Tamandua tetradactyla: one gene and its partners. The protein of the gene in region 1 interacts with the protein of each later gene in a pairwise test. Links are inferred from orthologs where the notes say so. Each region holds a gene or a part of one and is shown in the gene's direction. Other genes may lie near its edges. The genes, in order: RAB11B, RAB11FIP2 and MYO5B.

Evidence for each region.
Region 2: the proteins of RAB11B (region 1) and RAB11FIP2 interact in binary tests that used the Homo sapiens proteins (3 or more experiments, as listed by UniProt). The link is inferred for Tamandua tetradactyla from reciprocal best matches to the Homo sapiens genes RAB11B and RAB11FIP2.
Region 3: the proteins of RAB11B (region 1) and MYO5B interact in binary tests that used the Homo sapiens proteins (3 or more experiments, as listed by UniProt). The link is inferred for Tamandua tetradactyla from reciprocal best matches to the Homo sapiens genes RAB11B and MYO5B.

What each region holds. Positions count from the first base shown.
Region 1 is NC_135337.1:84,843,188-84,853,426, forward strand, and holds the start of RAB11B (ras-related protein Rab-11B), read left to right. Parts: upstream 1-5,988; 5' UTR 5,989-6,124; coding exon 6,125-6,164; intron 6,165-10,239. UniProt on the Homo sapiens protein: The small GTPases Rab are key regulators of intracellular membrane trafficking, from the formation of transport vesicles to their fusion with membranes.
Region 2 is NC_135339.1:80,407,515-80,417,090, reverse strand, and holds the start of RAB11FIP2 (rab11 family-interacting protein 2), read left to right. Parts: upstream 1-5,310; 5' UTR 5,311-5,798; coding exon 5,799-6,151; intron 6,152-9,576. UniProt on the Homo sapiens protein: A Rab11 effector binding preferentially phosphatidylinositol 3,4,5-trisphosphate (PtdInsP3) and phosphatidic acid (PA) and acting in the regulation of the transport of vesicles from the endosomal recycling compartment (ERC) to the plasma membrane.
Region 3 is NC_135344.1:32,698,351-32,708,186, forward strand, and holds the start of MYO5B (unconventional myosin-Vb), read left to right. Parts: upstream 1-5,506; 5' UTR 5,507-5,608; coding exon 5,609-5,653; intron 5,654-9,836. UniProt on the Homo sapiens protein: May be involved in vesicular trafficking via its association with the CART complex. The CART complex is necessary for efficient transferrin receptor recycling but not for EGFR degradation.

The sequences.
Region 1 (10,239 bases):
CAAGTGAGCCTCTCTCCTTGGTAGGTGTTCTAGTTTGCTAGCTGCTGGAATGCAGTATACCAGAAATAGAATGGCTTTTAAAAGGGGGAATTTAATAAGTTGCTAATTTACAGTTCTAAGGCCGAGAAAATGTCCCAATTAAAACAAGTCTATAGAAATGTCCAATTTAAGGCATCCAGGGAAAGATATCTCGGTTCAAGAAGGCCAATAAAGTTCAGAGGTTCTCTCTCAAGTGGAAGGGCACATGGCGAACACAGTCAGAGTTTCTTTCTATCTGGAAAGGCACATGGTGAACACGGTCAGGGTTCCTCTCTCATCCGGAAGGGCACATAACAAACACGATGTCATCTGTTAGCTTCTTCTCCTGGCTTCCTGTTCAATGACGCTCCCCAGGAGGCATTTTCCCTCTTCATCTCCAAAGGTCGCTGGCTGGTGGGCTCTCTGCTTCTCGTGGCTATGTCATTCTGCTTTGCTCTCTCTGAATCACACATTCTCCAAAATATTTCCTCCTTTATAGGACTTCAGAAACTAATCAAGACCCACCCAAATGGGTGGAGACATGTTGTCACCTAATCCATCTTAACAACCACTCTTGATTAAATCACATCATCCAGGGAGATGATCTGATTACAGTTTCAAACATAAGGAATTGAATTGGGATTATTCTGCCTTTATGAAATGGGATTTAGATTAAAATATGGCTTTTCTAGGGGACATACATACTTTCAAATCAGCACAGTGGGTAATAAAGGGTTTCAAGGAGTGAAAAAGAATAGGACTTTCCCACTATGTGGTGCCATGTTATTTAATGCACTATCTAAAACTATCACCCACGTCACCCATGCCAAGCTTCCCAAACTTTGAGGTCTGTAATAATTTGATGCATGTGTCTGGGATTCATGTCTGGAAAACACAGCACCCATGCAGGCCCTGAGCCTCAGCTGCTGCAGATATCCTGTTTCTGTCTCCCAGATACCCTCTCCAAGCATTTGTTTTAAGTTTCCCTTGGGGAGGTGGTAGAGAAATCTCTGTGGTTTTCCTGTGCCAGGACTCTTCCTGGGAGATGCTGGGGACTGGGTAGCTCCTTGGGGCTGAATGTGGGTGATGAATTTGTCAGCGCTGTAGAGGTTCTAGAGCTGCCACTCCAGGGAGCCTGGAGGCCAAGTTCCTTGTTTGGGGGGGTACGCTGGGAAGCCTTGGAGGGTATCCTTTGAGCCCACTGTGGCTGAAGAGGTGGGGAGGTAGGTTCTGCCGCAACAGTCCAGCCTGTGGAGTGGGGTGGGGGGGGTTGTGTGCCAGCTCTGCTCTCTTCATTTTCCGGTTCAGCCAAAGAGGGCTCAGCTCTCTGACTTCTGTCCTTATCCTGCCATACCCCTACTTCCACCCTCTCAGAATTTCCTGCATCACCGTGCCAGGAAATAACAGAAAAAATAGCCACCACTGTTAGGGAGTGACCAAGGGGTCAGGAATTAGGCAGATGTGCCGATGCGAGAGCTGGAGCTCTTACCCACGCATTCTCCTGGGTGACCAGGGACAGGCCACTAAAGCTCTCTGCCCTTAGTCCCTGCATCTGGAAAATGGGGACAGTTTTGGTAACACCCCCCAACGCTCCCTCCAAGCTCATTCTCACAGTGCTGTAAGGATTTAATTCAGCATTACATGAAAAACTCTCAGTACAATGCATGGCTCACAGCAAGCATGCAATACATATTAGCCACAGATACTATTACTATACTGCTATGAGCCATGCTGGGGCAGGGGGTGGGTAGTGACTGAGACAGTGGAAAAGGGTTCATGGTGGAGGTGGCTTTGAGTTGTTTCCAAAGAAGGATGAAAATTCTACCAGGGAGATAGGGACAGGGAGGGCATTCGAGGAAGAGAGCACTGCTAGAGCAAAAGCAGAGTAGGGCTGCTGTAGGAAAGTTTGGTGGTTCTCTAGAAAGTTAAGTATAGAATTACCATAGGAACAGCAAATTCCACTTCTTAGGTATATCTACCCCAAAGAACTGAAAACAGGAACTCGGAAAGGTATTTGCACACCGATGTTCATGGTAGCATTATCCAAAATTGGAGAAGAGATAGAAGCAACCCAAATGTCCACCAATAAGTGAATGAATAAACAAAATCCACGATGGAATACTATTCAGCCACAAAAAAAGGAATGAAGTTCTGACACATGCTACAACATGGATGAACCCTGAAGACATCATGCTGAGTAAAATAAGCCAGACTAAAAAGGACAAATATTGCATGAGCTCACTGACATGAAATAATTAGAATATGCAAATTCAGCCCAAAATTAGAATACAGGTTACTAGGGGCAGGACTGGGGGATGAGAAAGGTGAGTTAAGGCTTAATTAGTATGGTTTCTCTTTTGGACAATGGAGAAGTTTGGGGAATGGATGGTATTGATGATTACACAGCACTGTGAACATATTAACACCACTGAATTGCATACTTGAAATTGGTTAAAATGGGAACTTTAATGCTGTATATAGGTTACATTTATAAAAAGGCATAGTGAAGGGAAGTGCATTGAGTGTGTGGGAGACCAGTGGGTAGCCCCACCTGGCTGGAGCATGGAGCAGGAAGTAGGGGCGGTGGACAGGGAACAGCAGTGGGTTGGGGCTGGAATGGCTAGGGCTTTGAGCTCCCTGCCCAGGAGTTTGCTGATGTCCTCCCTGATCCAGCCTCCAGCCTTGCTTTCTTTCTTCTTTTTTTTCAATATTTGTATTGAGAAATCTTCACACATGTACAGTTCATCCATAGGATACAATCAATGGCTTGCAATATCATCATGTGGTTGTATATTCATCACCATGATCATTTTTAGAACATTTGCATCACTCCAGAAAAAGAAATACAAAGAAAAACCCATGCGTCCCATACTCCTTACTCCTCCCACTCACTGACCACTAGTATTTCAATCCACCCAATTTATTCTACCCCTTATCCCCCACTATTAGTTATTTATTTCCCCCTCTTTTTATTTTTTTCACTCATCTGTCCATACCTGGATAAAAGAATATCGGACACAAGTTTTCACGATCACATGGTCACATCGTAAAAGCTATATAGTTATACAATTGTCTTCAAGAATCAGGGCTACTGGAACACAGTTCAACAGTTTCAGGTACTTCCCTCCAGCCACTCCGATGCACCATAAACTAAAAAGGGATATCTATGTAATGCATAAGAATAACCTCCAGGAGAACCTCTTGACTGTATGACGTTTCTCAGTCAACGAGACTTTATTTTGTCTCATTTCTCTCTTACTGCTTTTGGTCAGGAATGCTCTCTCAATCCCTTGGAGCCAGATTTCAGCTCATCCCCAGAGTCCTGTCCCACGTTGCCAAGGAGATTTACACCCCTGGAAGTCATGTCCCACGTAAGGTAGGAGTAGCCTTGCTCTCTTGCCTGTTATCTCTGGCCCATCTCCCTCCTGTGCCTCATCGTGGGGTCACCATGGCCTGCTGGCTGTTTCTCCACCCACCAGGCTCTCTCTGTTGTTGTTTTGTGTGCCTATAATATTGTTGTTCCTTCCTTTCTCCCAGTCCTAGGACCAGATCCCTCTCATGGTTCAGGGCTCAGTGCAAATGCCACGTCCTCCAGCATTGTGTCCCTGACTCCCCAGCTAAGGGGCTCCCCATCACGTAACCCAGTTTCTTCTTATTGCACACGTACCACCTCAAAATGACTGGGCTCGTTGCTCATATGCTTCTTATCTAACTGCCCCCACTAACTTGTCAGTTTCATGAAGGCTGGGACTTGGTCTTGGTCAATGCTGCATCTCCAGGACCTCAAACACTGTCTGCAGCATAGTAGGTGTTCAGTAAATGCTTATGAATGAAGGCCTAAAAGGTTTTTAGACAGGGGAGTTATATAATTTAACTTATGTTAAAAAAAAAAAACAAAAACTCTTGCTGACTTCTGTGAGAACAGACTGTGGGACATAAGGACCAAATTCCAGACACCAGGGAGGAGGTTACTGTACGAGGCCAGCGGGTGATATGGAAGCCAGAGTCAGGGTGGTGGGAGTGGAGAGGATGACGTGATCAACAGAAGCAGAAATTTAGGAGGGAAGAGGGTCAGGATAAGGCAATTGAGGAGGTAAAGGGAGGGGAGTGGAGGAAAGAGAGAGTGGAGTTCACCACCTCTTGCATTGGTGATTGGGCAGGAACGGAGACCCATGAGGAAGGGTGAATTTGGAGAAAGAGGCCATGTTTGTGCCTAGGATGCCTGAAGGACATCCAGGAATGCGGTTTACGAAGCAGTTAATAATAACTGCCAAAACTAGCACATGAGCAACTGAAACCGAGGAGTTAGGATTTAAGGAATGATTTTGATTACCGAATTATTTCATAAATACTTCTTTTTTGCTTTCTGGCATACCCGAGTAGGCAGATTTCAGTACCTGACCTCTCTGAATTGCAATCCGGCTGCCTTGATCTCTGACAATAGCTGTACAGCCCTTCTGCCCCTGTGATTGTGACTAAACCTTGTGACTACTCTTCATCTGTCCCTAATTATTCAGTTTTTCAACTTTAGAGTCTTGTAATCACTAAAGATAGCCCCTAATGTGTGTTAATGAAGTCCCCCGAGTCCCAAATTATCTTGATGACTGAGACTGGATCTAGACAAAGTGGGCCCTCCTGATATGCGCAGTAGCTTAAATTTGAATGGGTAAGTCACCTATCCCTCGTGATAATACTAAAAATCATGCCCGTCATTATATTAAGGCCGCTATTTTCTTACCAACACTGTGTGACTAAATGCATACTCAATCTGCACATGTTCAATAGCAGATCACCCCTAATTACATCACCTGGGGCCAAAGTGCCCATTGTCCAAAACCCTGCTCACCTTTTCTCTAAAAAAAACTACCCAAATTACCACAGTTCAGGGAGAGATTTGGGGCCGTTAGGCTGTCTGCTCTCCTACTATGTGCACAACAATGAACTCTCTCCTTAAAACCCCTGGTGTCTCAGGAATTGATTATTGAGCGCCTTGGGCAGAAGAATCCATGGACTAAATTTATCTGTTAACATTCTGGCTTAGATTCTTCATCATTGAACAAACACTGAGCCTTGAGGATACCGCAGATACAATCCCTACCCTTACGGCATTCAAAGTCGGAGCCAGAGGACATAAACGAAACAGGCAAATGGATCAAAGGAGGAAGACAGGGCCACGGTGGCTCAGCAGGCAGAGTTCTCGTCTGCCATGCCGGAGACCCGGTTCCATTCCCAGTGCCTGCCCATATTAAAATCAAATTTAGAAAAAAAAGAAAAACGGAATGCATACTTGCACATCAGGTGGTAATAAATATTACGGAAACAAAATAAAACAAGTTAAGGACACAGAGAGGAAAGAAAGGCCTTGCTGCAGAATATCTGGTACCCACTAAGGATTCAGAAATACTAAATAACAAACACTTAAGGACACAAAGTCGACGGTTGATATACTATGGACGCTTTTAGGAAAATCTATTCATCCTCAAAAAGATTTCCAGAAGGTGAAAGTCTTCACTGTTTTGTGGAGGGAGGAATCCGAGGCGCAGGGTGAGAAGTAACGCGAGTCACCAACACAAGGATGGAAAATGCAACCGAGAAGCGACAAGCGCCCTCCAGACCGCCATCTAAGCAAAGAGGAGCGAGCGCTCCGCAAAGGCCGATGATGTCATCGGCACGCTGCGATCTGTAACGTAGCTTCTCCTGAACGTGGCCCCTTTTCCCTTCCCAGGCGGGTCCTCGGGTAGTCGGGTAGGGTCTGAATCAAGCCTCTCATTGGCTGCTCATTTCATCAATCCCCTTCGTTTCCCTAGTCTTCCGCCCCGCCTTTCCGAGTTCTGCTCTGATAGGCCGGCGCGGCCGTCACTTCAGAAAGATCCGCATTCCTTCCGCCTTTCTCCAGGAGACGGACGGTGAGGAGGGTGGCTCTCAGGCAGTGCCCACCCCGGAGGCTCTGCTTCCGCCTCTGATTGGCTGCTCCGGGTGTCGGTCGCTACGGCGCCCGCCGCTGTTTGGCCAGCCAGCCCCAGTTCAGCGCGGCGCCGGCTCCGCCCCCATCGGGTGTTTGTGGTGGGGCTGCGGAGTCGCCGATCCCGCCGGAAGCGCCAGGACAATGGGGACCCGGGACGATGAGTACGACTACCTATTCAAAGGTGCGGCCGCTGGGGCAGAGCCGGGCGAGGGCGAGGCGGTGGGCAGGCGCGGCGAGGCTGCGCTCCGGGCCTTTGGGCCCTGGCAGGGATCCGGGACTTGGAACCCGGGGGGAAGGCCGGGAAAGGCCAGGCTTCGTCAGCTTCGGGCCGGGGTGCACGGCTGTATGGAGCGGGCAGCCCCGAGAGGTCTGGGGACGCGGGGTGCGCCGGGGCGGGACCGAGACCTGAAGGAGGTGGGACAATCCGTTGGGGGCGGGGCCTCCGGGGGCGGGGCCGCCCCAGCATTTGGCGGGCCGGGCCGGGCTGAAGCGCCACTCGTGGTGGGGGCGGGGCCATTAGAGGCGGGGCTAGAGCCTGTGGGCGTGTCTCCGTGGGCGGGAGGGGCCAGGCCTGGGTGGGGGCGGGGTCCAGGGTCAGCGCCCTTGGGGGCGCACAATGGGAGGTTGGGTCGAGGTGAGGGTCCCTCGGGAGGTGTGTGGTGCGAGGGGGAGCCTGGACTGGGGTGCGGACCCCTAATCGGGTGGAAGGGCTCCTGGAAGGGACCATGTCTGAACCCAGGCGTGGTGATTGAAAGCAAGAACTAAATGAAACGCTTGATGGTATCAACCATGTACCTGCACTTCTCTAAGCACTTTACACGCAAGCGCTCACTTAAATCCTTACCTTGTGAGGTGAGTAGTATTCAGCCTCTGTTTTTACAGACTAGGAGACTGAGGCCCAGGGAAATAAAGGCCCAGCCAGAAAGTGTTGGAGCAAGACTTGAATCCAGGCCGGCTGTGGCCTTTATCATTTAGGGAGCATGTTTGGGGGCCTTGTGGCCAAGATCTGGGTGTTAAACCCTCTCTCTCCAACACTTGAGCACTGGTGTCCTGGACCTTGGCCGTCCTGCTGGTGGATCTTCCCTGCCTAAGGAACAGATGGCTACCAAGTAAGGCCCAGGCAAGGCTAGCAGCTTTTGCCGAACTGGGGCCAGCTGGAGAGCCTTTGCTTTACCCCTCGAGCTGGGAAGACTCCCTTCACATTATTAGAATCCCTGCTTTCTCTGCTGGGCAGGTTGGAGGATCACTGCCTTTGCAGTACCTTGCCTGCTGAGCTCGGCTTTGGCCAGGTTCTCTGCCATGCCTGCTGGACTCTCGGCTGGCAGTGGCCACCCTGGAGACCTAAACCCTGGGTCCATGCACTACACCTTTGCCCTGCTGCCTGGTGTGTCAGCACCTTGGGACCAGGGCTTTGGGAATATAAAGAGTAGGGTGGAGCTCTCCCTACCTAGGATATCCACATTAGTCAAAGGTTTCCGGGCTGAAGGAGAGCCTGTGTCAAGGCCCTGAGTCAGCCCACAGCACCATGGGCTCAGGGGGTTGCAAGCAGGCTGATGTGTCGCTGGCAGGGCACACCAAAACTCACGTGCCTCCCAAGCCTTGGGTTCTTGGAGACTTTGGTCCTCCTCCAGCTGGTTTCCCATCTTCACTCAAATCACCTTAGGGGGCTGCTCCCCTGCTCATAACTGAGCACCCGTCTGATGTGGCACTGCCAGGGCAGGGGGATTTCCCCCCCAGGTGCCACATCCTGGTTTCCATTGCCCTCCCTTGCTTGTCGGGCTGTCAGTTTATTGTCACCCTTTTGCTTTTATAAACAATCAGATACAAATCATCTACTTGCCCTTTGGATTATTTCCTTGAAGTGTGTTCCCAGAAGTACAGTTACTGGGTCAGGGGCAATAGAGCAGCTCTGCACTTCTCAGGACTCATCTATAGACTCAACTTCCTGGAAACACAGATCAGGTCTTACGGTAGCGGGCATACTGTGAGGGCCACCTGTCCCCTGTCCTCCTCTACTGACCCTGTTTACCTAAGCCAGTGGTAGCAAGCTGCTGAACTCGATCTAGGGTGGTAGCAGAAGTCTAACTCACAAAGTCAGCATTTCTGAAACTCTGTTCATCCAAGGTCTCACCTTCCAGCAATAAATATCTTTTCCTACTTTTCTTTAAATCCAATAAGTTTTTCACTAAGTTAGGTGTATTAGACAAGGAAGGAAGGAAGCAAACCAGCAAACAAACCACCACCATTACATCACTGCCACAGATATGGAGGAGGGGAAGGTAGAAATGTGAATATGTACACCCCCAGACCTGGGGGCCTGCTATTGAGGCTCAGGTCTGGGCCCACCTGCCAGAGAGACATAGAAAACACACCGGCCCTGAGCCCCCTCCTCTCCTCTCCTTGCAAGGGTCAGACCTGTTGACAAAAGCCAACTTTTTCAGGACCTCTGCTTGCAGGACCTCTGCTTGCAGCACCCTGGAGTCCCCTGCCCCCTAGGCCTTATTTGTCTCTCTCTGGATTAGCCCCTGGACCAGTGCAGCCATTCCTCTCTGCTCGGGACCCTGGGCTGCTCCTTGTTCCACTCTCCCACTGCCACCCTGTTCTGAGCAGCCACATCCCACAGTGACTCCCCCTGACCTCAACAGCCAGCAGATTCCACGGGCCTGCTCTCCACGAACATGTGCTGTTGTTTTCCTTCCTGTTTCCTCTCCCCCTCCCTGAGAAGAGGAATGAAGTTGTTTATTTGGACCTAATTATAGGCCTTCACATTTATCCTCATAACATTTTATCCTGTTAGCCCTGGGCTCTTTGCCCAGGTTGCTCATTGATTGCTGGGGTGACTCCTGAGCTCTCCTCTGATGAGTTGGACTGCAAGGTCCACCATCAGGGGGCCCAGAGGCTTCCTCAGAGCTCTTTCTGGATCCCCCAGCCAATCAGTGGCTCTGAGAAGAAGGGTGGGTGGCAAAGGAAGCTGACCACAGTGGCCCTAGGCTCATCCTGTGGGTTGTGGCCACCTCTGCCCCATTTAGGAGCCCTTTAGGGAAAAAGGGTGAAGAGAAAATAGCTGCTGGTTCCTAAGGGACTGGACCAGCCCTGGTGCGTGCCCTTCTCTGCTGAGCTCTGTTGAGCACTCTCCAGGCAACCTCCCTGCCTCCAGCCCGGACGAGTCCCACCAGGCCCTGTGTCCTGATTGCTGGCCTGGGACCTGAGCAAATCATCTTCCCCAATTGCGAATGGGGGCCCGCTGGGCCCATCTTTGGATACCTCTGCTCTGCAGTTCCCTTGGAAATAGCTGCCACACAATCCACCTGAGCCTCAAACCCTGAGCCCTAGAGAATGCCATGCTGTCATGGGGCAGGGCAGGGGACCCAGGGCTTCCAGGAGGTGGCAGCTCTTTGTTTTTACCAACTGGGTTTACCCGTTCTGTGAACCAAGTGGCAGGTCCAGGAGGGCCGTTTCCTAGCCAGTGAGCCCACCGGCTTCTGTGGAAATGCCAGGGGCTATGTCCTCAAGGGCCCTTTATTTCCCCAAGACAACAGGTTGTTTATACTCTTGACAATGCCATGTTCATTCGCAGTCTGCGCTCGGGCTGGCCTGGCTACTGCCCCACTGGCCCCCTCTCTGCACTAGGCAGTGTGTGCCAGGGACTGCTGTGGCAGCCCAGCTTTCCCACTGGTCATCTGGTCAGGGTCTGGTTGGTCTTCATCTTACTCTGACCTCCATTGTTCACACTGGGTGACTTGGGGCTGGGAACTCTGTCACTCTGGGCTGAGTGTTTCCAACAAGGTAGCAGGAACAATGTTATACTTAGATTTCCCCCTAAGAACTTGACATGCTGAGACCCACAAAACGTAAGAGTAGGCCTGGTGGAGTGGCTGATGGAACTCTTGGCTGATCCAGGCAAACTGATGGGGCTCAAAGGACCCAGGCTGGACAGTGGAACAAGGTAGGGAAGGGCATGAGGGTTGTTGGGGGGACAGGACACCAAGACAAGGCCAGAGAGGGCCCTCCTCATATCCCATTCCAGTGCCGAGACATGAGAAGTGTGAGCAAACCTGGCCTAAGCCAGATTCCTGCCATGGGCAGGAGGTGAAGGGTGGGTGGCATGGATGATGGGACCCGTGGTCCATCCACCCTGGCCTGGCATGGTTGGCTGTCCTCGGCACAGGGCCACAGGCCATGTCTGTCTTCAGCTCTTCCCACCATTCACTCAGGTCCTCTTGGCAGGCTTCCATTGGGCAGCCACGGCTTCCTGA
Region 2 (9,576 bases), on another chromosome or scaffold:
CTGGGATTGGAAGGACCCTCAGAAGCACACCAGTATTGTGGCTTGCCGAGTCCCCAACTCTTTAATTGTTGAGTCAAGATTAGAACTCAGGTCTTCTATTGCTCAGGCCGGTGTGTCTTCCAAACTACCACTCATACATTCCCATTAATTTCATTGCCAGTTGTCAAAAAGAGGTATGATTCCAAATACAATTTCCCACACATATTCATAAAGAGACACCTATGGATGTCTCAGTGGCCATGTTTGTAATAGTGAAAAATCAGAAACAACTTAAACGTCCTGGGGAAAGAGAAACATCAAATGGGGCTTGTTCACTGGCCCTGATATCATATCACATTTAAAGTGAATGGATTCAAGTTCTGTGTATTTGCACACATTGATTTTGTTGAGGGAACAAAATCTGCACAACATAATAGCAGAATACCATGAAAAGACATCCACAAGAAACTTTCCTACATGCGAATATGTATTTGCTTTCATTCTTATTCTCCTCAGCATGCATTCACAGTTCGAAAGCGCTGCAAATAATATGAAGAGAAGTTATGTCTATTACAAACGAAAAGTTTAAGGCTTTTCAAAACCACATGCACTTGAATGTAATTTCTTCCAAATCTTGAGCTGTTGGTGTGGATTTCCTCATGTAGAGCCTATAATAAATATTATATTTCCTCTCTTACTGTGATCATTAATTACTTTCATTTGGGAGAGAGAGCACTCAGGACATCTTGAAGATTTTTTTCTCCCCAATTAGAGGATCTTTCTTAATAAATTACTAAAAAAGGGAATTTGCCTTAGTATATTGACCAAATTCAATTAGGTAATTACAATGTAATTTGCTTCTTTGTGTTGTGGATGTACTATTCAAAATTATTAAACGTTAAGGGATGTTTTCCTGGCTCCTGTTAGGGCTCTCTTATTTTACAGATGAACAGAGTCCAAATGAGGGAAATTTACTCTAAAGATGTGCAGCTAGTAAAAGCAGACTGCTATTAAGATCCCATTTTGACTGGACTAGGGCCCTTTACTCTCACTTCTCCTGGCATGCAAACTGGCCATACACTGTCTAATTCTAGAAGACAAATTAATCAGTTTAGTGATGAAGACAACAACAAAAAAATCACACACACACAAAACATTGCTATTATAATTTCAAATCAATTCACTTTTTTTTCTTTATCTTATAACTAGTTATATGGAGATGGATTGATCTATTTCCAAAATAACTCTGGAGCTTTGCCTTATGTATGTAAATTGTATACACATTTGAGCTGCTTATATATTTGAACTGTACACACACACACACACACACACACACACACACACACACACACACACACGTGCGTCTGAAGTCTGAAGGTTGTAATGAAGCTTTGGGAAAGACTCATGCTTCCCTCATGTCTCTGAAAGATCTCCATCTGGAAAACAATCATTATCCATTACAAAATGTATATGGCAGCATCAACACTCTTGACCAAGTGAACTATTTAAACACTGAGAGCATTATAATTGTCCTACAATAGATTTGAAAAATGTCTTTATAGAGATGCTGATGTCTATAGAAAATCTGCTATAACATGAACTTCCCTTTTGGGACTTTATAACATTTAGTAAATATTTTCATCTGTGAAATCCTCCACTACTGAGGAATAAGTATTGGCTATCTTTACTTTCTGGTCCAATCACTGTTATTCATTGTAGCAGCATTTTAACAGTTTAAAATTAGAATTTTCAACATTTCCCCCCTTGAAGATATATTATTTTCCCAAGCGCTTGACTTTGGAATTGTACCAAATGTTTCCAGACAGATCATTAGTCACAGGATAATAAAAAAAGTGACTCTCTTCGATTCTGGCATGCTGTTTTTGTGCATGTGCTGTTTCTTCCCTTTTTAAATTACTGTCCAAGTATATCGTAAAATTAGTAAAAAGAATTTTTAAAACTGTAAGACAATAAACATTTTGGCTGAACTGCTCTGATCCGGATCTTATGTAATTGCCATTGTTTTTCACCCTGAGCCATCTACATAGTTGACCCAACTATTATGTTTTAACTTCCTTAATACAATAGAAAGCAAAGCAAACCAAAACAATATGATAAAACACTTTCTAAAAGGAAGCTACTTCATTTTTGTAATGTAATTCCAGATTGTATTTAACTCATTTTGTTTTTTTTCTTTCCCCTCATGGCCTCAAATATGCTGTTTTCTTATTCCGACTTACAAAAATAAAGTCATAACTTCTGATTTTGCCAGATAGTAAAACTAAACAATGTTGGCTCTAGCCAGGTTTTGGGAAAAGTAAAAAGAAATTTAGGTACTACAGGAAGAGATTTAGTGATTCCAGTTGCTCAGCTCTTGAGTTAAATACTCAGGTCAAATACTTTAGAGTATTCTCCGAATTGTGTTGGAGAATGTTATTGGGTTGCTGTGAACTACTGCTGCCAACTTCCACCCTAGAGATAACTATGTTTCAGAGATGAGTGAACTGATACTTGTAAACAAGTTTATAATCTTTAATAAAGCTTACCAAACAATTTAAACTCTTTAGAAACACACAGCTAGTATTATAATTGCCTATTGTTTATTTAATTATAAACTTTAATAGAGACATGAATACTTAAAATCCAATTTACAAAAATTCTAAACTTAAGTTTGATTTTGTGATGCTTATTTTGTTTTAAGTTTCAGGTATCAAAGTGTTTCTCCCTCGGGATGCTGTTGAAATTCCACCATTGACTATTCCAATGTAGTCTTTAAAACTCCCCAGGAATATTTTTCTTTAAAGTTGACAATCGCCCACTCTGGGACCCAGATTTTGTTCTACTTTCTGTACATGGCCTTTTCATTTACTATTTCCCAGAGGAGGACAATTGTGCCTCTTTTTTCCATTTCGTGGTTAACTTTTCATTTTATGGTAAACTTTCATTAAGATGATTTAAAACTTAGGTTCTTTCATCCTAGATGAAAAGATCCTAGGTATCTAGCTTGGCTTCTTCAAGATGTATCTGTAGCTAAGCTCTCGGAAGATCTTGGTGGTAAATTAACCCAGTGTCTCTTTCTGGAGGACTCACACCATGCAGAACTCATGCAGCCACAGAGTGTAAGCAAATTAAAATACTGAAGTTTACAACAAATGTAGGAAATCTATAGACAATAGCAAGTAAGTGGATCCCTGAAAGAATATGCTGGAATCTGAGTGGTTTCAAGGTTTGTGGTGCTATCTTTCCAGTCAAGCCTCTTACAGAGGCTGTAAGATTAAATTAATGCAGTTCCCTCACCCCCACCCCACCCCACCTCACTCCAACTATATGGCTGCTACTCTAACACCAATATGCTGGGTTCTCACATGCCCCCACTGAAAAACAGTATTGACTACAGAGTAAAGACCCTTAACTTCACTTGCTTCTTAGAGTTTTGAGTGTTGCAAAAAGGATCTTGTAAAAATGGAGACACTGAGAAAACATGGAGCACAGAAAGTCCTTCTCAAATGTAGAAGTTTTGAACCTAACCTGAAAATTATAAATACTTTACACTTGTATGGGCATTCTAAGTTGCAAAGTGCATTCACATCTACCATATAGCCTTGTAAAGGAGAAAAGGTATTAAATCACTCAATAAATGGAAGGGCAGGTGGTATGTTATGAGAGGATTCCACGGTACACAAAGCAGTCTGAGAGCTTAGACTCTCCTCGAGATGAAAAGACATGAGCAGAAACATATGCAATAGAAGTAGTATGGAAGTGCCCCTTGTAGGTGAGAAATAGGCAAAGGGAGACAGAACTGTGTACCACATTGTGCTCGGAATCAGACGTCTATTATTTCATAATATTCCCTTCATCCCTATAATGAGTATTGTATCTAGTTTATGGACAAGGAAATCCATGCTCACAGAAGTGAAGTCCCTTGGGTCCCGCAGCTGAAAGAACTGGCAAAACACCGGACCCATCCTAAACCATAATCTGTACTTTCTCTGCTAGATTAGGCTAGTTCCAGAAAAGGCTCAGTATTATCTGTCTCTCTTTTCTTTTTTAACAAAGCCTTCTTCACTCCAACCGCACTGGTGCTCATCCAGTCCTTGCTTTAGGCACAGGATGGCAGTTGTCCCCCATGGTGAAGTAAACAAGCCGTTTGTCTTTCTGAGGTCCACAGGGCTTGGCTTCCGAAGTCAAGGGATGATTTCCAGGTGAAGTTCCCGGGGCGGGGGTTCCTTTTGATGTTGAGACCATGGAGTCACGATGGAATCTGAGACACGGTGGAGAACCTCAGTTCACTTGTGAAGAATCTAAGGCCTGGGGAGGTCAAATGACCCGCCCAGGTCGCCCAGACTGACCGATGGTGGCAGAGATGGAGCTGGAACCAGGTCTTCTGGCTCCGACCCAGTGCCTCCCGAGATCTTTATTAAACTACGCGTTAGCTCTGCAATCTTTTGTAACTGCTTCCCTTTCTCCCTTCCTCTGCATGGAGATGTCATTTCCAGTAAATTGACGGTCTTCTCTCCTTTCAAAAAGAGAGCGGTGGATAAAGGGGCATGGGGGAAATGTGTGCTTTAGGTCAATGAAGGGGACCAGTTCATTCCGCCACTATTTGCCCTCCACTTGGTACAGGCATTGGGCACCCAGGGTACAGCAAGGCATTTTCTACTCTCAAAGGCTTAATTTGGGTGTGTCTAGTTTAGGGCAGGCCCGGGGCCTAAATTCTTCCTCAGGGGAGAGCGCCCCAGTCTGCCTTTATAGGATCCCGTGTCCCCATCGCCCACCACCGTGTCCGGGCGACGGGCAAAGCATCCTGCCGAGTCGCACCACGCACGGGCTAGGGAACTCCGGGCCGCAGCACCGCCCCAAAGCTCGCCACAGCCCAGACGGCGCGCCCCCAGTCGTCATGGCAACCAGGGAGGTGCTGACCCCTGACCCCGCGGCCTCTCCTAGCCCCGCCCCTTTGCGTTTCCGAGATCAACATGGAGAAAGACAACCCGGAAGTGCCGGCGCTGCTGCAGCCCGCCCGGTACTAGGAGCCGCCGGCCCAGCGAGGCCGAGTCCCGTGGCCGCCGCCCAGCAACCCGCGGCCCGCCCCTCGTCCTGCCGGCGCCGAGGCGGCCGCGCCCCTCCGCTCCCCTCCACCCCCAGGCGACTCGCCCCCGCCCGAGAGGAGGAGCCGAGGCGAGACGGGGAGGAGGAGGAGGAGGGAGCGGTTTGTGAGAGGGAGCCAGGCCGCGCGAGTCGCCGGCGGTTCGTATTACCCGGGTCGGGAGGAGGAGCCGGGCCGGGCCGTGGCCCTGCGCGGGGTGGGCGGGAGGCGCTCAGGAGGCTGGGCGGCCCTGCCGCGGGAAGGCGGGCGGGAGGCCAGGGCTGCAGAGTCCGGGCCGGTGAGCTGTCGTCTGCAGGGCGGAGGGCTCACCAGTCACTTTTTAAAAAGACGCCTCCTTCCCACCTCCGAGCTCTCGGCCTGGGCCCAGGTGGCCGGGCCTCACCTGCCCGCAGGGCCGCCAGCCGCCCGCTGCCCAGGGTTGGTCCCTGAGAGCCGCGGAGCGTGAAGGTGGAGTCGCGAGGCGCGGGGTCCACACGGAGGCCTGGACAGCGCGGCCAGGTGATGGTGGGCCCTGTGACTCCAGAGGGAAGGCGAACCCAGAACAGCCGAGTCCCCGGACTGCCCCAGTCCGGCGGCCGTTTTGACATTAGCTCTAGGGAAACTGGGCAGCTCACCGTTAAGTGGCCTTAGGATGCAGTAATTAAAGAATTAGGGTCTCCTTCCGCGAGGGGCACTGCTAGCGCTCGTGGACTCCGTGTAGAGCAAAAAAGGCGGAATGATGCTGTCAGAGCAAGCCCCAAAGTGGTTTCCAACCCACGTGCAGGTCACAGTGCTCCAAGCCAAAGATCTTAAACCAAAAGGCAAAAGTGGCACCAATGACACATACACTATAATTCAACTGGGCAAGGAAAAATACTCCACCTCTGTAGCTGAGAAAACCCTTGAGCCAGTCTGGAAGGAAGAGGCCTCTTTTGAGCTACCTGGATTGCTAATGCAGGGGAATCCAGAGAAATACATTCTTTTCCTCATAGTTATGCACAGGTCCCTAGTGGGTCTGGATAAATTTTTAGGGCAGGTGGCAATCAATCTCAATGACATCTTTGAGGACAAACAAAGAAGGAAAACAGAGTAAGTTATGCAATTTATTTTAAATTTGGGGGCGCTTAAATATGTCTTATGGATTTTCTATTTTTGGAAATTATTTGTTTACCTGGGGCATTAGTTTTGGGTTAAAATATGACCAAGTTTTAAGCACCATGTTTGCATGGATCTGACGTAAAAATGGCATCTGTGAGGAAACATTTTTTCCACGGAGTCATTAATCCGTTATTCTCATTTCTGTTTGAGGTAAATAGCTATCAAATAGAATATTTTACCTTGGATTTCAAGTAAATTAAAAGTGTTTCACTATTTGTAAGAAGACTGGATCACAGGATTGCCAACTAAAACTTAACATGCCTACAATTTACGATCTTTAAACACTAGAGTTGTTGATGAAGTGGAACATCTGAAAATTAAACCTGAAATGTAACATTTTAATACGAATGTTGAACTTCGAAATTGCAGAAAGATAAATGACCAAAATTAAAACTCAGTACTTCATTTCAAAATTATAAACACAATTGGCCTTTATTTTAGCTTAGCCATTTTTCAGGGTCCATACGTGTTGATAGAGTTTAAAGCTGTTAAAAGAAAAAAAATAAAATTTAAAACTATGTACAAACATTCTTAACCCTGAATGTATTAACAGCATTTTCCTTGGAATTTACAATATATTGACAATAGTGTATTCAGAATTAGTTCTGCAAAGCCAGTGTGTTTAGACCATATTAAATGCTGGAAGATTGGCGGCAAGGACTAACTTCTTGTGATGAAATGATTTAATGACATCAACATAGCATAGTTGTCATAGTGTGACTTTCAAGCTTCAGTGAGTTAACTTTTATTTAAAAAATATATTAATTAACACTAAAATACTCTATCTGAAAATGAGAAAAAATGTTTTCAGAGCTCAATATACTCATCACTTTCTTAAATTTGCACTTATTTTGAGAAAACATTAAAATTAATGAGAGAAAAAAACAGTGTAAACTGAAGTCTTTAAATTCCTGAGATTACTTTGGTATTTCTTTGTCATAACTGAAATGTATGTACCTCTTTAAAATCATATTTAAAGTGATAACTTTCTTAAAGTGTCCGTTTTAAAATAATTATCTCTTGTTCTTTTCTGTAAATGTCTGCTTGCATACTTCTCTTGATTGGAATTTGTATTATCAGGTCTTTACCTAAGGTTTAAAATATGCAGGGTAAATGAGTAGAAAGGTATAAGATACTCCGAATGTAAGAGGAAAATGATAAATATTTAAACTAATTGAGGCGATGAAATTATTTTAAGGAAGAGGAGAGAAAAAGAAAAAAATGTAAAGTTGTAATGCAGCGACTTCAATAACAAAACTGTGTTACCTAAAAAGTGGTATTTTAGTTTCCTCTGGGAAGTTCATACAGTTTAAAATGAGAAGTGGTTAGTCACCACGTTCTGAATTGCCAGTTTGGGGTGACAGTATATTTTAAAATGTGTTGAATGTAAATTTTTAAATCTGTTGTAGCTTTAAGTTTCTTAACTGTATTTGCAGGATTTTTAATATTGATAATGTATTATAGGCCTCCTCTGAAATACAAACTTTTCAAGTGAAAGTAGGCCCAAGTGTGAACCTAATGGTGAAATAGCCTTTTAAAGTTTCTTCTTGTTTTGTGTGTCGTCTTTGGCAGCATCATAGTTCCTATAAGTTCCCGTAGCACTCCAGTATTGTTGTTTCTCCCTACAGAATTCCATGCCGTATACTAAATAAAATTGATTGTAACTTTTGGTGGGGAGAAAATGCTTTTAAATGTTAGCAGGTCTTGCGATGTTACTACTTTCAAAGTGATTTTCATTTGTTACTGTACCTTTAGTATTTTCTTTCTTTGTGGATAAATGGGGACCACATATTCAATGAGGTATCTTTATTGGTAATATTTCCAGTTTTTTAATATATTTAATAGTTTCCTTTTTCCAACACAGCTGTGCATGTGGCGCAATAAGAGACGGACTTGAGTCACTAGTGTATTACAAGAAAGATATTTAATATTCTGCACATTGCTGAACCTTGTCAGCATATTCCCAAGTGCTTTTTAGAAAACCAGTATGAGTGATGAAGGCTACCAGCTGATTTAGAAGTCCCATGGAACTGTGGGATGTGACACTTTTTACTTTTTGACACTAAAGACAAATACAGCCCATCTTCCATTTGTGGCAAAGAAGTGTGATGGCTAAAACTATTATCTTATTTATTTTTATATCTTCAAATAATGCTTTTTTTTTTTCTTCTAAGGAGAGGAGGAAAGAGGCTTGGGTAAGAACACTTTGCGTGGGGCTTGGAAAGAGAACTGCTGTATCTCCCACTTTAATGGGTATCTGGGTTAATCCTGGCACAAGATTTAAGGAAATAAAACAAAGTTTAATAATAGAATGGTGAAATAGTTCATGCTGTTATGTAATATCTATTTATTTTTTACAACAGACGTGGGTGATATTGACTTTTTTTTAATGCCCCTGAGAAGTAATAATGATCAGAGTCCCTAGAGTTAGGTATGGTTCAAACACATGCAGATTTCAGGACTTTTGTGTGCGTCTTTGCAGTGCACCTGCATCCTGGCCTCTGGCACCCTTACTGCCAATCTTGTCCCATTTCTGACCACACAGCACCAATTGTTTGGGAATAGTTCCCACATGTGTGGTGATTTTTGAACATGGACCTGTGCCCACTAGAAATTGAACCGAGGCCATACAGTTTAAATCCAGTACTCCAGAGGTGAAAAAAAAGCAGCATTAATCCCCTAAGCCCCAAATGCTTGGTCTTCATTTTATCTTTATGAAGCTTCAGAAAATCAGTGCCATCTCTGGAATGATTCTTGAAGGTCTCATTAAGACTTCCCTGTTATTACAGTTTGAAAACAAAGCAGGTAAAATTACTTGTCATGCCTCCATTTTTTAGTATATTAAAAAAAAATTATTTGCAGTTTTCTTTTGGGGTAGTTTGTATCCAAACAACGACTTACTCTTTTCTTTAAGACTTAACCTAAGTCTTCAGAGTTCCTTACAAAAACAAAACAAAACAAAACAAAACGATACACAGAGATAGATTTGTAGCTTGATTGATTTAGAAAAAGGGTGGTAGAAGCACAAATTCAATAAACATTAATTTAGTACAAGGCACACTGGCTTCTAGGAGCTTACACTCTAGCAATAGAAAATCTATATTGCTTTCTTCTTTGGCTGTCATGTCTTCTGATCAAATACAGTGTCCCGGAATAAGTGACCAGCTTTGTGTTTAACCTTAACATATGTGGGTCATTAGATAGAAAGAATTTCTATTTTCCTGCAGATGTTACCCATCAGCTTTGGATTTTTTTCCTTATTGACTGTAATCTGCCACTGAGAAGTTACCTGGCATTCTCTGTGTTTGGTCTCCTCATCTATGGGATAAGATTGGTAAAGTAGATGACTGACTTGG
Region 3 (9,836 bases), on another chromosome or scaffold:
TGCATGCCTTTCCTCAATTGTGAGAGCTCCTTTAAATACCCCAACCCCTAGGGCCCTTGGTTTCCTTTTCTGAAGGTGTGTGTGAGATGTTTGGAGTGGGCCAAATGATTCCCAAACCTGGCTGAATAGAACAATCCCTTGGGGTTTCTAAGTTAGTAGTTGGCAGACCTTTTCTGTAATTGTAATATTTTGGCGACTACTCAACTCTGCCATAATAAATACATAAATGAAACTTCATGGCTGTGTTCCAGTAAAACTTATTTAAAAAACAAGTGGAGTACTGGGTTTGACCCACAGGCTGTGGTTTGCTGATCCCTGAATTAAATTAAAAACATACTTCCTTGCTATTACCGCTGGATATTCTGCTTTAGTAAGTTGTAAGTGGGGCCTGGTAATCTATGTCTTAAATTTCTGAAGGGAGGGGATTCTGATGATCAGCTAAATACTGATCATTAGATTTGGTGATTGCTAGTCATGCCTCGATTCATGATTTAAAATTTTTTATTGAAATCTATCATAATAAAAGACAATTGAATTTTTTAGAAAACCAGCTTTTTAAAACTTCTTAAATGAAATGCTTTTGAGGTCAGTTTAGAAAATTATGAATCTCTTGGTGAAAACTAAAGGCGAACACATTTTAGAGGAACACTTTATAAGAAATAGGAACTTAGGAAGGAATGCTTTAATTTTTTTTTTACTCCATGAGAATGTTAAATCCCTCATTGAAGTTATAAGAACCACACACCTCTCCAAGTTCAATTTCGTTTTCAGTTTCTTTTCAACAAGCATTTGCGTGTAGAATGGGGTGTTTCTCGTATGTCCCCAAGAGTGCTATTCCAGCGAGTAGAAAATTGGGAGTTTGTTGTGTTTTTGCCTGGCTGCTGACTTATTCTCTCTTCCGACCTGAGTGCCAGGAACCTGTGTTGTCAGGGTATGGATTCTGGGACTGGGCTGCTAAGCAAGGGTGTAGTGACGATGGCCTGTCTTGGCACTTGTCGTTGTTCTTGAAAAGGGTCCAAGATAGATCTGCCTTTTCCTGAATGATGGGCTCAGAGCAGTTTTCTCAGTCTTGTCAATCTTGATATTTGGGGTCAGGTAATTCTTTTTTGTGGGGAAGGAGGCTAACCTGTGCTTTGCAGGATGTTTGATGTCATCCCTGGCCTCCACATCCCGTACCTCAATTGTGATAACTGAAAGTGTCTTCAGAAATGACTGAATGTCTCAGAGGTGGGGACCCTGGTTGAGTACCTCTGGTTTAAAGCTAAGGACTTTGTGTTCTCTAGTGAACCCTCGGAGGTGAAATCCCAAGAACAAACTACATTTCACCTGCGTAGGAGGTAAGGTCGGTGATTCTGGATCTAATCCAGGCCTTTGGGAGAGGAAGAAGCCATAGTCATCTTATGCTTTTGTTCTCTCATGTCCTCCTAAGCCTCTACTGTGTGTGTCAGTGTTGCTGGACTAACTGTTCTGAAACACAGTCTTCAGACACAGCTTACCTGCTTTGGGACTTCAGACAGCTTCCTGTCCTGAGAGGCCTCCATTATCTGAACTACTTTACCCACCCAAACCCATTTACCATTCTTCCTTGGCACTCATCTTTGGTTGTGGATAATTTTGTTTTTGTATTTCTAGTGTTTTTATTCTGATAGTAAGTACGAAAATAAGAACATAGATATCTTAGGTTGGAAAAAATGAATCAATCTTTAGACTTAATTGAGGAGCTCCGGATTGAGATGTGCTGGGATGTGGATTGGGTCTGTGATCAAAGAAAATGGATTAAATGGAAACAAAATGATATATGGGCTTGAAGTCTGGCAGCAGTTGCTGAGGGCCAGTCTACTCTTATAGTTGTACCTGAATTGTTGGTATACGTCACTGTTACCTGTTCATCATATTTCTTTGGGAGAGTATACAGGTTTAAAGTTGTGACAGTTTGCTGGGTGCAGAGGGAGCAGATATGGCCTTGGCATCCATGGGAGTTTTTTTCTTTATTTGTGGGAGTTGTCTCCATCCTCTGAACTCTTCTACACTGGAGGTTTCTTCTCAGAAGCTGCTTCTTCAGTTGACTTAGGTTGTGCCTGAGCTACATGCCTCTGCTCCAAGAGTAGATGGCCTTTTGTGGGAGCAGTTGGTTGGGTCACCATGATAATGTGGAAGAGCTTACAGACATTCATTGTCTACCTTAAAATACCTTTGTCTGTATAAGTTCATGTCTGTTTCCAAGCCTTTGGGCTCTTCCTTTGTCTAAATCCCGCCATTCTCATTCAGGACCTAAAACTTTTGGCCTGTTGTATGTCGAAATAAATTCATCAGGCTTATTGCCTCGGAAATAAGTTCTATATTCTACTATGAACTGATGAATGACTTTTAATAAGCATACCAGAACTTTCATGTCTAAATAAGTGTTACTGTTCAATTAAATCATTTTAGGATGATTCTAACAATACAGTCGTTGCTCAAGAAGTTTTGAAACATCTCTTACTGTTTTGAAAACCATTTTATAAGTCACACTTGAACCAGAGAAGTTCCATTTGTACAATTAAATAACTCTGTTGAAGATTTCTATGGGCCAAGTAGTGTACCAGGGCTGGGAATCAAAAGAATGATTAATTCTCAGTGTCTGCTCTCATGGAGCCTACATTTTGCTTGAGATAAATGTGTAAGTGGCACAGGGATGAGCCAGGTTACGCTGGCATGTCATGAGAAACAAGAAAGTCTGCAGGAGAGGGAGGGGAAGTAACATATATGGGGAATGAGTATGGAAGGAAGGTTAGGGAAGGCTTAAACCATAACAAGTGAGTAGGATTTCAAGAGGATTCAGGCGGGCCACGGTGACTCAGCAGGTAAGAGTGCTTGCCTGCCATGCCCAAGGACCTGGGTTCAATTCCTGGTACCTGCCCATGTAAAAAAAAAAAAAAAAAAAAGAGGGATTGATGGGAGAGACTAATAATACCCTTCCAGGGAGAGGCAGCAGTATAAGCAACAATATTTTGAAAATCTAGGGGCTTGTTCAGGAAATAACATTTCACTGGCTTAATGTTCCCTGCAGTGACAGTTCTCCTGGACAAGCCCAGCAGAAACACTGGCACTGTGGGCCTTTGCCAGGTGAGTCTAGAGGGTTGATGCTGGCTTAGCTGGAGTCTACCAGAGGAGCTGGGAGCAACTATAACCCAGAGATAGGAATATATTGTGGCTCCAGCAATACTGGTCACAGGGGTCTAGCAGGAAGTTAAAGACTAGGACGAGAGTTGGCAGCAGGATTGCAAGGCAGGTGCTGGGGAATTTTTTTGTTTAAAAGCTGAACGCTGTGAACCAGGTTAGAGTCACAGGACTTGTGCTTACTTAGGCTGACACTGGTACAAGCAGGCACATCATAAACTTCAGAATGAAAGAGAGAGAGAGGAAGTAGCTGGTAGCAGGTCAGACCCCAGAGGGCCTTGAATAACAGACTACAAAGTTTGGACTTACTGATTTATAGGTGCTTTGTGAATAATAGATATTAAACTTGTCTTCTGTAGGTTTGTGAATGTTTCTCCTCAGTCATTTATTTATGGAAAACTTTTCTGAAAAATGAATGTTGTCAAATCCATCAGTCTTTTTCCTTTATGAAGTGTTGAGACATTCAAATTCTTGCAAATGAAGTATTTTTGGAACCCAACAGTCTTGACACTTATTTAGTGATTCAGTAAATCAGCCAGTATTAAAGTATGTAGCTAATGTGTTCTGTTCTTCCCTATTACACTCTAATTCTTCCCTTCCCCACCCCGTAATTCCATTTTGAACTCCAGTATGTCACTGCATTCATTCATGGTTGTGGCTTTTATAGGAAACTGAGTATCATTCGGTTGGAAAGCCAAGCAGCTGACCAGCCTCTTCATAACCCTTTTAAGCTCTTTGAACAGACTAGGTGCTTTTTCTCTATAAAATGACTCTTAGCCCAAGTTACGGTCTTCAAACACGTTCTGCTTCAACTGAGGTGTGTTGAGCACCTGAGGTGTGTTAGTAGACGCTAATCCCTCTTCCCCACTAAGCGGTGTGATCTTGAATTTGCCACTTAACCTTTTTGGTCTCATCTCATTTCAAATACAAGAGCCAGTCGTCTCTTTTTAATGCTTCTCTCATCACGGTTCCTTGGTTCCATGATTCTTCTGAATTTCAGCTTAGGGCTATGTTTGCTACTTTGGTTTTCTTGCCTATCATTTTCCTCTTCTAATCTTCTATCTTTGAGCCTCTTATTTGAAATCCCTTCAAGGCAGGCAGTTATTCCTGTGGATGCTTCTCTTTGTTTCTGCAGGCTTTTAGATATGTCTGCCTCATTTCCTGGACTCTTGTCTTTTGCAGCTGAAATTAGAAACCCTTAGAAGCATAACGGATGCTAGAATCTCATGAAGTAACAGCCCTGAAATATCCCAAGTCTACTGGCAGAGAGTCTGGCTATAATTCCAGTGACAGCTCTTGATTGCTCCCTGTGTAGGTAATCACATTGGTCCCCTATTTCTCATAGACTTGAGGATGGCCTCAGTGCATTCTCATCTCTTTGGCCAGGCCCTTTTGTTTCCTAGCCCCATCCCCCCCCCCCCGCTTTTTTTTTTTCCTTAACCTTTTAGTGTGTTATTTTTTGAAGTTTTGGAAAACTTCTAGTATAAGCCTATATGCAGATCGGAGTTTAAATCTGCAGAAGCTGCAAGCAAATACTGAACAGAAGTCTAGAGGTGCTGAGCTACCTATAAAAGGGTGTGGTGTTAAATCAGGTAGCTTTAGGACTTGTGGCTCATTTGATAAACAAATGGCTGCCCAAAGCCTCCTGCAGGATCAGAGAAGAGAAGCAGCCTGGAACCATGGAGAATAGGCAGGATAGGAGCCAGATTTGGGTTTGTTTGAGGGCTCTCAGTAGCTTTTAATTTTAGGTACATCCCTTAATTTCTGTCCATACCTACTTCATCTATCTGTAAATGGCCACAAAGGGCTGTCCTCAAATAGCATCCTAAGATGGGTAAAATTTGTTAATGCCCTAAGAGACTTCTCAGATAAAGTTGTAAATACCTTGAGAGGAGAGAGCTTATATCACTCTGGGTTGAGGAGGGGAATATATAACATTTGTATTACTAAATACTCATTGATAAATCAAAGTTGTTAACTGGATCACTAGATATTTAGTGCTTCCTGTGCAAACCTTCAGTGCATTGGTGGTTGAGGCCTTTGTTACAGCTTCTTTTGAACAGGTGGCAGGTGGCTGCAGTGGGTCCAGATGCAAGGGTGGGGCTGTCGCCCTTCCCTGTCTTTAGTTGGGGTCCCCAATAACTGCAGGGGTAATTCCCTTTTGCTGGTGGCACAGGAATACACAGGCGCACACCTCCTATCTGATTTGAAAGTCACTTCCTCATAGAAACATTTATACTAATCCTAAGTAGGTAGGCTGTTTGGGTTGCCCTGGGAACCTACCACTTCTAGGATGTTTTTCTATAGAAAAAGTGAATTCTGTGTTCCAGACTTAGAACTTAGAACACATTTTTTTAAAAATATTGGTAAAGGGAACCCTTATTTTAATTTGAGGAGGATGTGGGGCCATATTAGAGGGGACTTGGCGCTACAATGAGGCTTCTTTGGGATGGATCCAGGAGGCAGTTATGTGCTGCTCCGTACTACCCAGCAGGTCAGTTGTGGAAGGCTGCAGTATGAAAGGTACTAGGGTGCCACTGGGCTTTGATTTTTGAAGTAGCAATTTTGAATCCTTAGTTTTAAAAAAAACAAAACCTCAAGAACTATAACAAAAGGAGTCAGAAAGCAGCCTCAGAAAACTCACGTCTGGTGGAATGGTGGTGATTTCACAATTGGGTGTGAATGCCGAGGGTAACAGCATGTGCTTGTTGGTGTTTGAATCTCAGATGGATGTGGGGAAAACTTGATAAGGGATATTAGTTAATACCCTCTAGCTGTCTTTCCTGGCATCCCTGTGGGTGGGTGACCTTCCCACTATCATGGTCAGACCCCAGAGTCTGTCCTCAGCTTGTGCCCCTGCTAGTTTCCCTCCGAGGGCAGACTTGGATTAGTTTTATGCATCTCCCTCCATGAAGAATGGTTCCTATGACTGGGGCCTAAGATACACATAAAATTTTTTTTAAAGGATATTAAAAAAGAAACTCATGACTTCCAGAAGATTACTTTGCCAGAGGAACTGGCCACGAATAATGGACGTATTAGGGAGACTTTCCCCTCAAATGTTACTACCAGGACAGGGAGCAATGGAAATCAGTTAAGAAGAATCTGTTGGACACTGATGTATGCCTCCTACTGCGTGGAGGATTTTGGAAGAATGAATGAGGAATATACAAGCCCTGTTCAAAAAGAAGTTTATAATATAAATGGGTAGATAAGATAGAATAAGCAAAACAGGGTGAACAAGACAATATGAAAAGTATTTCTGTACTACAAATCATTTTAGAAGGGGAAATATAAATTATACATTTATGAATGCAGAAGTTTTAATGGCAGTGTGCTCTCAAATCTATAATTCAGACAGCTAAAGAAAATTATTTATATCTGAAGTACAGTTCAAGCTAGTCCTTGAAAGACGGTGAGATTGAGTTGTGCAGAAAGGATATGTCAAAATGTAGATTTTTAAAAAATTTATTGCTCTAGCAGTTTTATTCTTAATGAGCTAACCTGGGATTAAACAGAACACAATTCTTGTCCTAACGATTTTTGAAGTTATCTGAAAAATATTTTGTCTCTGTGATTTCACCAGGGTTGCCACTTGTACATGAGCTGTGTCTGTAGTGGTGATAAATGGATTTATTTTTCTGAGGTGTATGGTAACTATTCCCACAGATACCTGCCAGGCAAAGCGTCCTGGGGCTCACTCCTGAACTCTCACCTTTATCTTGTTCGGAAACTTTCAGTAGCTCCCTATCATAAAGTCCTCTCTCCTTACCCTGGTGTTGGGGTCTTACGTGATCTGTCTGTATTCCTGACTTTCTATGTTTTTATTCCATCTTCTTTATAGCAGGCTCTCCTCACCGCAGTTCCTGCTGCTGTATATTACGCAGGGCTCCTTTTCCTAGTGTCTGCATGTTCACACTTTGCGTATTCTTCAAAGCTCTACTCAGATATCACTGCTTCCATGAAGCCTTCTTTAATCTGTCTAGCTAAGGGAGTCCTGTTGCTGCCGAGTATCTCTGGCACCAGCCTCCACTGCTTTTGTGGCCCTTGCCTGGTAGCTTTCTTCTTATGTTGTTAGTTTATGTACAAGTTTTTCTTGTCCCCAATGGAGAGAAGGCAAAATTCCCAAGCCTTTCTGGTCTTGGTTTGCCTGCACCTAGTATTACTGTACTTTCCGCACAGGAGGCTTTACCTCTGGAGAAAGGTGTCTGATAAGTCACAGCTGGCAGCCTCCAAGTATTACCTTGTGCTTCATTACTTGGTCCTTCAGCCCTGCCTTATAAACACCTGGGCCTCTCTTGTTACCTCTTACATGATCGCTTGGTGGATTTTGCATGTTTGCATAGATGACTGACACATGCAAACAAGTACGGTATTCTTTAAACATTCTGCTTTATAACAAAATTTCTGATTTGTTTTTTGGCCAGGGTAGAGTCTTCTAGAGCGGGTAGGGCAGCAAACAGCAATTATTAAAAACACACTGCAAACATCAAATTCCTACCTGGTTGTAGTTTAAGCATGTTCTCATATTCTTGCTGGGAGTAAGTTGAAATACTGGGATGGCACAGAAGTGCCAGCTGTGCCTTTGTTGTGGTTTCTTTTCATGATTCCCTACTACTACCCGAGTCTGATTTGGGGAAACCAGTAGAGTGACCTCCTAATTTGGTTATCTGTGGCTGCATGCAAACCACCCTAACATTTAGTGACATAAAACAACAATTTGTTTTCATTTTTCATAGTTTTGTGGGTTAACTGGTCATAGGTGTTCTATTAGTTAGCTCCACTACTCTTCTGGCTTCACCCTCCACCTTAAGCAAAGAGTTCAAGATTAATTTCTTAAGCCTTACCTCCTTCTGTGAGTCTAGACTCAAACATCCAGCTGACTGTTGGCAGAGTCAGTGGTATGTCCCCAAACTTGGCATTTCCATAAGGGAATTCTTTTGGTATGAATGCAAGCATTATCTAATTTCTCTGACACCAGTGCTGGAGCAGTACATGGTGCAATAGTAAATTCTGAGTAATAGTTAATGAATTAATGAGTGAATGAACTCTTGTCAGGGTGTACCAATAGGGGGTGGATAAATTCCAGCACAAACACACACACACACACACACAAATGCACACATATACAAAAGAATACTAAAATGAGTGAACCAACTCTACATGTATCAACAAGATAAATGTCAGTGGTGCATGAAATATAATCAAGTTACAGAATATGCATGGTATGCTACCATTATCTAAAGTATACAACCAAATAATATTAGATGTATGGATGTATTTTTATGTGGTCAAAGTAAACATATGCATATGTGAGGGAATCGCTCCACTATCAAGTTAATGGATATCCATTGTCAAGTTAATGGCTGTCTTTTGGGATAGAGGAAGGGGTGACCTATGTAATGATGAAATAGCCTTCTCTGAAGAGAAGACTGGCCTTTTCCTTCAGCTACTGCAGGGTGATCTCTATGCCTGGTAGGTGTCTTTGTCTGGAAGCTTTTGCCACAGGGCAGCCTAACAATGTGATTTGTCATAGGACCTTTGGACCACACGATATCAATTCTGCCTCCTGCAGGGACTTGAGACTAAAGGTGTCAGCCTGACCTCTTAGAGTTGCTGGAGCCTAAAGATTAATCGATTGGGCAGTATTTGGTCCAAAGCTCTGGGCACCAAAGGCTCTGGTGAGCTTCCCTGGATGGCAATACTCTGTGAATATTGTCCTACGTAATGGCAGGTAGGAGTTAATGCTGTCCTTGACTTCATGGGAAGAGGACAACCCAGAGCTTTGCTAGTGAATTATTGGTGTTATTTACTTTTCAATCCAGATTTTCCATTTTGTTCTTCTTTGTAATTTCTATTTCTTCATTTATATTCTGTATTTTATGTGATGTTGTCAAACCATCTTTTGCTTTGCTTTCTTTACTTCTGTGAGCATTTTTACATCTGAAAGATTTTTTCTTTTCATTCTGACATCTGGTCATACTCACGGACAATTATACGTGCCTATATAGGTCATACTTTCCTGTTTGTTTGGTTTTTAACATGCCTTATAATTTTTTGCTTGAAGCTTGACATTTTGGATAATATACTGTAGCAACTATGGTTACTGATGCCCCTCTCCCTTCGGAGTTTATTGTAATTTGTTTAATTTCATGACTGGTTGTATTATTTTAGTGAGTCTATCATACCTCCCTCCAGAAGGGTTAAGCCCCTGCCACTCTGAGAAGGCTGCAAGTAATTTCTTCCTCTCTTTCCTTTATGACACCCAACTGTTAAACTGCTCATTGGAGACCACATTGCTCTATTGTTTTCAATGGTGTCTTGTGGCATAAATTCCTCTATTAATGCAATCAAAGTGTTTTTCTTTGAAGGGAGTAGTTTTTGAGGTCTGCGTTTGGTATCTGTTCTGACCCTAGGAAGACTTCTCCAAGTTTACCCTGATTCTCTCCTCCCTATGGCCAGCCTGTAGTCTATATCTTCATTAGATCCATACTGCTCCTCCAAATTGCTTTTCATCACTGCTCTCAACTGTTCTTGAGAGAGTCCTTAGGTTTAAACTATTCCATACTCTGTTGCAATGATGTCAGTTCATATGGAAGAGACTTGGAGCCATTTGTTGAGCCAGAGCTCTGGAGTTGGGTGGAAGTGTGGACCCTGCTAAGCCTTTTCTGAGTGGC